2 linked regions of the Canis lupus familiaris genome follow. The protein of the gene in region 1 interacts with the protein of each later gene in a biochemical or structural test. Links are inferred from orthologs where the notes say so. Each region holds a gene or a part of one and is shown on either strand. Other genes may lie near its edges.

Region 1 (3,777 bases):
ACAGAGCAGATGGTAGCAAAATAGTCATAAAAAGTTATGTTCAGTGGGAGGCTGGGCATTTCCCTTTGGAATAAGAGTCCTTGTTAGTTTGCTTCTCTTCAGTCTTAATGTGGGAGAGAGTGAAGGGAACATAATAAAATCACTGTGGTTCAATCAGGTCTGGATGCAGTTATTGCCCCAAAAGTAAGCACTTAATTTCCTTCCTACAATTTCCAAGCATTGACCAAGACACATCGCTAGCAAGACCCAATACATACTTATGTGTTCAGACAAAATTCTTTCAATATAAATAGAAGAAAAGCATTGGGAAGTGGGGACCATGACGAGAGGGTCAAACATACTGACTTCAACCCCAGGTCCTCAGCATCATATCCACTCTCAACCCTGACTGCTCACTGCCTCTCACCTGCAAGTGGCCCCCACTCTCCACAAGGCTGAAGGAGAGGCAGGTTCCTGGATTGACCCCATATGAAATCCACACTATCCCAATATAAGATCATGACAAAGACCCAGGTTTAAATATCAGTGTCTCCTAGTTTCAGTTGAAGGCCATATCCCATGAACACACCAGATAGATGGTTCTTCCATACATACAGAACACACACTTCACACAACACAAAATATTTCCAGTATGGGTCTGTGTTCGGGTTTGGAGTGTGTGAGTGACGCTGTGTGTGTGGGTGTGTGCGCCCATGTGCACCAAAGTTAGGAGACACATCCCTGGACTGCTTCCCCAGAACTCTGTCCCTTCTTGCTCGTCCTCTTGGTAGGTCGGGCTCTCCCTGGCACACGCGGGACTTTGGCCACGTCCCCGGCCACCTGAGGTGGGAGCATCCCAGCCGCAGTGGTGAGCAGGTCGACGGTCTGCTGAGGATGATTCTTCGGCATCTCAGGTCTGTATTTGGAGTGGTGAAGGATGACTGCGTTCGCAGGAAGAGCAATTTCTCTTCTCCTGACATTAAGTTCAGGCTTAGGGCGGTTGCATTCTTGGAGGCATCTCCACTGGTCTAATGTCATTTGTTGCCTTGAGGTCTCTTCCCCACGCTCCTCCAACTCAGGAAGGTTCACGGAGGGATCCGTTGCCGGCTCTCCTGAGGCCTCACCCACCACTGTGGGGTCTGCCTCGGGAGATGCGAGTCCTCCCTCTTCGACTGACTCCCTCCCAAGGTCTCTCTCCAGATCAGTCTTCTGCATATAAAAGAGGACATAGGCAGGTTGGCGCAGCGCGCAAGTCACATCACAGGCGCTGACCTTAGCATCATCCATTTTATACCACTGGCCATTTCCTGCCTTTACGAAACAGAAGTAATGTCCGCTGTGGCAACTCCTCCCAGCGTGCACCAGCACGGCATAGAGCACATAAACCAAGGGTCCTGCCCTCTGCTCAGACAGGTAGTGTTGCATGTCAAGGCGCTCAGGATATTGCACCTCCTTAGTCATTTTGTTGCCTGTCAAGTCTGAGAATCGTCTCAAGACCAGGATGAGGACCTTCGGGGAAGTGTGCAAAGTCAACACCTTGGACGCAGGCACCTTCTCCAGACACTTACTACAATGGTAGGCATTTTCACCTTCCAGCAGTTCGGGCTTCACCAACTGCTCCAAAGCTTGGCTGACGCTGTGAGCATCCCCGATGTCCAGGCTGATGTCCAGGTAAGGTTCCAGAGTGCTCGAAATGCCTTGGCAGTGGAGACACTGGATTTGAGACCTCCAGTACCCCCCAAAGAGTTGCTGGATGAGGGTGCTGTCCTGAGGACACTCAGGGTCTGAGAGCTTGTCCTCAGGCAAGCATGCTTGCTGCATTGCATCCAGAATGAACATGAGATACTCATGGGCATCTTCCTGCTTGTGTCTGTGGAAGGCGGCGAGCAGGAGTGGCAGGGGCCGGAGCACACGTCCAGGATGGCAGAGAACCCACATCAGGTGAGCCTGCAGGGTACACAGCATGCAGGATGTCTGCCTCCTACAGGTGGTCCCGTGCTGCTGGGACAGCATGTAGCTGGCGAGGGGCTCTGTGTAGGTCAGACACTGTAGGGTCGCATTCACATAGCAAGTGTTGCCCATGTTCTGAAGCCCGGCTCCCACCTGGGAAAGGCTCTTCCAACTCAGAGGCGTCTTGGTGGGAGGCAGCCCTGCTGATGCGGGAGCCAACGGGTCAGTCGGGGAGGAGAGCGTCTTTGATGCAGGAGATGTCCTCTCGGGCACAGAGGGTCCTCCGTGGACTTCAGCACCGCCTCTCCTTGACCAGTATGACTGGGGTTTGGGAGAGGCGCTGAACTGAGGCTCCTCTGAGGGGTGGAGGTGGGCAGCCTCCATGTCTGCAGAAACAGTGTCCACAAGATACATTCAACCAGGAGCTTCAGGGTCGCAAAGGGATGCTCCTCTCACTGATGCCAGTTTCCAAATGTCAGATAGTGAACCTCACCTCCACCTTTATGGCTTTTGGGCCCTGGGATAAGGCACAAAGTCCTCTAATCCACTCTAATTGCTTGATTGGATTACGGGATTTGGGTGTGGTCCCTCCCTGACGGAGACCATTCAGGTCAGCCCAGCTCCTATTCTTGCCTCCCACAACAGGCAACTTTCAGATTATTCTCAACCACCTCAACTGTCCCTGCACCTTTCTCAACAGAATTTGTTCAGAGTTTCTATGTTCAGAGGAAACCTTTTTGAATGTCCTTTCCTTTGAGTAACCCCAAGGGAGCCAAGGAGTGTTAGACGTTAGTGCTCTAGGACAGGGAAGATCACTCTCCCAAAGGAGCTCAGGTATCACATAGGAACTCGTTCTCCTCACCAGCAGAATGTTTGTAGCTGAAACCAATTATTTGGGAATATGGCATCCATTGCTTGGCTTCTCCACTTCTATCTCTCTGGACTATGATTCCAATCTACAAAGATTGTGAATGTTTTGATGAATACCAGTTTCTGCCTTGGTGTGGCCCGGGTCCACCACAACAGGAATTCTCTCACTGGTTTAATGTTTTTGGGAAACATTCCTTTGAAACTCCCTTTCCTACAAGAGTCTATATCCTAAATCCAGTGTTTATATGCCTCATTTTACCTGTACAAGACCGCGGGACCTTGAACACAAGGCACCAAGCACCAGATGCCCGGTAACACACTGGGGTGCAACCTTCCTTCCCCTTGCCTTGGGCTCCAGGAGGCTGAAGGAGAATGTGGAGCCGGGGAGTCAGCGGGACCAGCGGCACCAGGCTGGGCTGTTGAACCAGGCTGAGAGGGAGAAGGCAGGGAGACGAAGGTGAGGAATGGGGCTTGTGACCCAAACGCCAGGGCTGATACGACAGACCCCGAGTCCGTGTGCATGCACAGTGTGCAGGGCGGCTGCGGGCAGAGCCAGGCAGGGCGAGGCAGCCAGAGGAGCTCCCAGGCTAAGAGGGGCCACATTTGGGTGATGGAGCTGTCCCTGCTGATTTGGTGTGGGGTTTGTGGCTGGAGCAGTGTCCCTGCACCAGTGAATGTATGGAGCTTGGCACATGCCAAGGCAGACCCTTTCAGACTCTGTATGTAAGAAACTGCCTGGACGACCTGTTCAGCTCCCTGTAGTTAGGACGAGGGGCAGAGGTGGGCGTAGATTGGCTGAGGACGGAAAGGACCAGGTTGGCCCAAGCCCCAAGCAGGTGTCCGGCTGGAAGCCAGGGAAGGGAGTTCCTACTCCTTTCCCTGCTTTGATTTCTCGTGCAGGCAAGAAGCCGAGCAGAGGAAGGGCCTGCTCCACAGGTTCCCCAGGAGACCCCAGGAGGGGCAGAAGCGCACCTGGAA
Region 2 (4,399 bases), on another chromosome or scaffold:
TAAAAAAACACAAATATCCACTTTTATCATTCAAGAACAAATTACTATAATGTATTATAAAATATTTCCTAATGAAAATGCAAAAATTTTAATTTGCCTAACCTGTTACTTCACACTGTAGTTGGAATTAATTTTATAAGGGCGAAATTTTGATTTACTCTGACATTGGGCAACATGGTTTAATTCAAAAAGTCAAAAAATTTATTGAGGTTAATATTTCCAATTCAAACAGTATTTCGCTGGATTTCAGTTCTTCTAGAGATCTGAAATAAATAAATGTTTTAACTTTGCTTTAAGATGTTTAAAAGGGTTTCAAGTATTCTACAGATACAGACTTTAGAGAACACTGGATTCTTAAAAAAACAAAAAAAAAAAAACAAAAACAGCTTTTTTGGGGGGAGGATTTACTCCTTTGCAGGGTCTTGAGGGCTTTTTTTTTTGTCAAAAATCTCATTTTCACCTGCAATAATTGTATTCAGGTTTTCTCAGCAGGTAAAGTATACATTCTTACAAGGTTTCAAATTTCAGAATTCCAATAATGCATTTAAACTGAGCACCCACTGAATCACGTTCTCTTCTCTTTGTTTGGGGTGTGTGTGTGTGTGTGTATCCATTATCTTGCAGTTCTGATATTTATATTAAATTTTAGTCTTTTTAGCTCCCCAGAAACACCTTAGTGAACCCTTAGCAATTGCTAACCACTTAATAATTGTGAACCCGCGAGCCCCTTCAAGTACGTCGTTAACCACAGAGTGCCTGACAATTTCCAAATCCTATCCTCTGTCCAAAAGGAAAAGATAGGGCTTTGTGAGGCCGAAAGGAAGCGAAGGAAAACAAAACAAATGTAGCTCATGCTGAAAGTGAAAAGTGCTTGGACAGATTAGTATTTTCTTTTCTGCAAGGCGCCCTGCCAGACTTTTTTTTTTTTTTTTTTTTTAAATAGAGAAGAGTTATTTTTTTGGTCTGATTTTTCAGTTTCTTGGAAAGTGTTGGTCTTTCCCACCCCCACCGGCCCCTCATAATTATGGTTGGTTGTTTTGTGTTTTTCCCACCCGGCCACATCACAGCCTGCTGGTCCCCCCGCCTCACTCTGTCAAAACCCCAACTCCCGGCGACCCTGGGTTTGGAAACTCCGCGGACTCCCGACGACACGTCCCACTCTCCCTCTCACGCCTCGTATTTTAGTTGCAAGATCCCTCGCTCCAGTTGCAGCGAAAGCCGGAAATTTTCATTTAACTGCCCCCCCCCCCCGCCGCCCTCCCGCCCCCCACTCGGAGCCGAGCGTTGGGGAGTGGAGACCCGGAGCACAGCCGGGCTCGCCGCCTCCCCTCTCTCCGGAAGGCTTTAATTTGCACACTTGCTTGCCTCGGCGCAGCGAGCCCCTAGCCCCGTCGCCGCCTCCGGGTGGGTCTCGGGCAGAGTCGGCCTGGGGGGGGGGGGGGCGCCCCCGCCCCGGCTCGCCCCGAGCCCCGGCCCGCGCCCCGCAGCCCCCGGCCGCCCCCAGCGTGCGGCGCGGGCGGCGCCCTCCGCCGTGCCTCCGCCGTCCCTCCGCCCTCCGCCGCTGTGCCCACCCCTTCGCGGGAGAGAGCGCCGCTACCTCCTTCCTCCGAGCCGGTTACCTGCTCGGCGCGCGGTGGACACGTGCGGAGGTCGCACAGACACTCGCAGCCCTCCCCGGAGGCCCGACGCGGCCGGGCCCCTCAGGTGAGGAGCAGTGCGGTCGGGTGGGTGGGCTGCGGGGTGGGGGGTCCCCGGGGGAGATTCGGGAGCTTGGCCGGGGTCGGAAGCGGGGGTGTGGGTGGAGGTGACTGTGGTGGGGGGTGTACGTCTTCGGAATCGGCTGTAGTTAACCCCTTACGACCCGAGGCGGGCTAGGGATGGGGACCAGTCCTGGGGAGTTAGAGGACTCTCTCCTAATCTGGCGAGGGAAGGACATCCCATACCAGGGACACCCCCCAACACTAAGATCCGGTGCTGCTCCCACACAGCCGTGCGCGCAAACACCCACGCACTCATCAGGCTCCTTAAAGCGGAATATAAACTCCGCTCGGACCCTCAAAGAATAATCTACCCTTTAGAGTTTAAAATGCACTGCCTCGGGGGGGACTCCATGCGGGACACTGTGCTTCCGTGCCCCACGTTCATTTCCCCACCGGAGCTCACTCTCCAGCTCGCGGAGGTGTGGGTGTGGCCTCCACCTTCTCCACCACGAGATCAATGTTAACGCAGGCTTCTTGCTGGAACCCCCTCCCCTGCGGGGGTGTTATGCACACTTAGAGGAGTGCACGCAGGCGGCCAGTGCACGGGCTTGGAGCCCCACAAGGACGCACGTTGGCGTTTAGCTTCCCAGTTTACTTTTATTAATTTGCAGTATCCGAGTTAGAACGCACACCCCGCGGTGAGCAGCGCCGGGCCCCGCAGCGCGCCCCACAGTGTGCACGTGGGGCTCATCTGCGTGTGCGCACACGCGGGAGTCGTGGTCCCCGTGCGGCCTCTTGTCGCTGCGCTGGTGGCGACCCTTGCGGTGCTTGGCAGGCTTCGGGAGAGGCACATGAAGGATTTCATTGAGTGTGAAGACAGAGAGCAGAGACAGAAAGCAGAAGGAGGCGGCTGCAGCCTTTGTAGTCGCGGAGGAATGCGGAAATGTTGAAGCACTATGTCAAACTTTTTTGAAATGGGGTCAAGTCACATTCAGCCAGCGTGGGAAAGCAACAACAACAACAAAAAAAAGTGGAGGAGAGGGGGGGAAAAGGCACTGTTGCTCCCGTTTCTCTCCGCCGGAGCCGACGGTCCGGGGAGCGGGGGGGAGGGGGGAGCCTGGGCGGGCGGTGCGGGGCCGGGCGGGGGCAGCGGGCGCAGCTCCCTGCGGGGGTGGGACGTCCGCGGCGCTGCCGGAGCTGCTGAGCCTCCGGTCGGACTGCGGCGGGGAGGGGGATGCGGGAGGGGCGGGCGGGCGGCGCGGCCGGCGGCTCCGCGGCTACCTGTGTGGCCCTAGGCCTGGCTCGGACCCCCGCGCAGGCTCTTGGGGGGCTCAGTCCTTTCTCCCCCGGGACTCGCCTTTACCTTTTAAGGAGAGCTTTGAATGGAGTGTGAGGGGCCCTGCGCTCGCTGCGGTCCCCTCTGCCAGCACGCCGTGGGGATCGCGCCATTTGTTTAACTCCTGGCAGGAGGCGAGCGGCCGGCGGTGCGGGGCAGGTAATTCCGAGGTGTCCCGGGGATTCCAGACACGCGGCCGGCGTGGCGAATGTACCGCCGAGGCCGCGGCGGCCCTGGATTACGACTGAATGGGGAGGGGAAAGCGTGTCCCTACCCTGCCTCCCCACCCCCGCACTGTGTTGTGCGGAGGGCCCCGAGCGGGGTCGGGGGGTCGGGGGGCGCGTTTGGCCCCTGCCTGATGAGACCAGGCCTCGAGCGGAGGGAGGAATGGAGCAGCCACCTCTGCAACTTCAGATCCAGAAGATCTGGAGAAGTTCCAGGGAGTGGGGAAAGGTTCGGAGTCCCGGCGCCCAGGGCGCAGCCCCTTCTCTCTCACCCCCGAGGCTTGGCATTTACTCCTCCCACCCCCAACCTTTTTAAGAGGAGGTTGGGTTTTGATGAGGTTGAAATTAGTTGAGGATTTCAGGGCGAGTCGCGGTTACGCTACCTTCCTCCCGCAGTTACTCTCTCAGGAGATGACAAGCCAAAGTGCGACGAATAACCCGTCCTCCCACCCTTACGGTCCTTTGGGCGACTCCCCCCTCTGGGGCCCCACCGCTCCTCCACTCCCGAGTAGCGGGAGCCCCAGCCCTCCCCGACCTCATGGGTTTCCACCAGGGAGGTCCTCCGAGTCGGAGGAAGAATTTCGTTTCCAGTCCAGACTTCTTTACCCCAAAAAGACCATTTGTGTGTGCAAGTCGTTTTTAAATGTCTCCTCGCAGAAAAACTGAAAGTAGAAAGAAAGGAAGCAATTTCCCAGCAGATGTCTGACCACCCCTCCTCGCACACTCCCAGCATCGGGTTACAGGGTCCCGGGAGCCCCCACCCACATTCGGCAGCCCCACACGGGTGGACCCACAGCCCCTCCACAGCAGCTTGGGCACAACCCCCGAAAGCCCCACGGCACCCCGGAGCCCCTCTCCCTGCACGCCCAGGCCCGGGGGGGCGGGGTGGGTAGCAGTGCAACACAATGATGTAGGGATAAATATTAAGCCGTGACATTGACGTGCCCGGCACCTCCCCTCCCCCGCGCTCCCGGCACACTCTGGGCTGCTCGGCACGCCCCCTCCCGTTCCACTGCGTCCCGCGCCGCGCGCTCATCCCCGAGGGGCCCCTGCAACCTCTCTGCGCGAAGACGGCTCCAGCTCTGCAGGGAAAGAAAAGTAACTTCGCTTTTCTCGGAGGAACCAGGAAGGATTAAGCA

What was found.
Region 2: the proteins of ubiquitin carboxyl-terminal hydrolase 17-like protein 6 (region 1) and CDK6 form a complex in vitro, tested with the Homo sapiens proteins (3 studies listed by BioGRID, with this or other methods). The link is inferred for Canis lupus familiaris from reciprocal best matches to the Homo sapiens genes USP17L2 and CDK6.

Annotation. Positions count from the first base shown.
Region 1 is NW_023330959.1:17,540-21,316, forward strand, and holds ubiquitin carboxyl-terminal hydrolase 17-like protein 6, read right to left. Parts: upstream 2,314-3,777; coding exon 706-2,313; downstream 1-705. Other genes in the region: ral guanine nucleotide dissociation stimulator-like, read left to right, coding at 3,320-3,432, 3,700-3,777. UniProt on the Homo sapiens protein: Deubiquitinating enzyme that removes conjugated ubiquitin from specific proteins to regulate different cellular processes.
Region 2 is NC_049235.1:18,374,813-18,379,211, reverse strand, and holds the start of CDK6 (cyclin-dependent kinase 6), read left to right. Parts: upstream 1-1,552; 5' UTR 1,553-1,704; intron 1,705-2,337; exon of another isoform or gene 2,338-2,664; intron 2,665-2,944; exon of another isoform or gene 2,945-3,153; coding exon of another isoform or gene 3,154-3,280; exon of another isoform or gene 3,281-3,643; coding exon of another isoform or gene 3,644-4,296; exon of another isoform or gene 4,297-4,399. Other genes in the region: uncharacterized protein LOC102152579, read right to left, coding at 3,154-3,280, 3,644-4,296. UniProt on the Homo sapiens protein: Serine/threonine-protein kinase involved in the control of the cell cycle and differentiation; promotes G1/S transition. Phosphorylates pRB/RB1 and NPM1.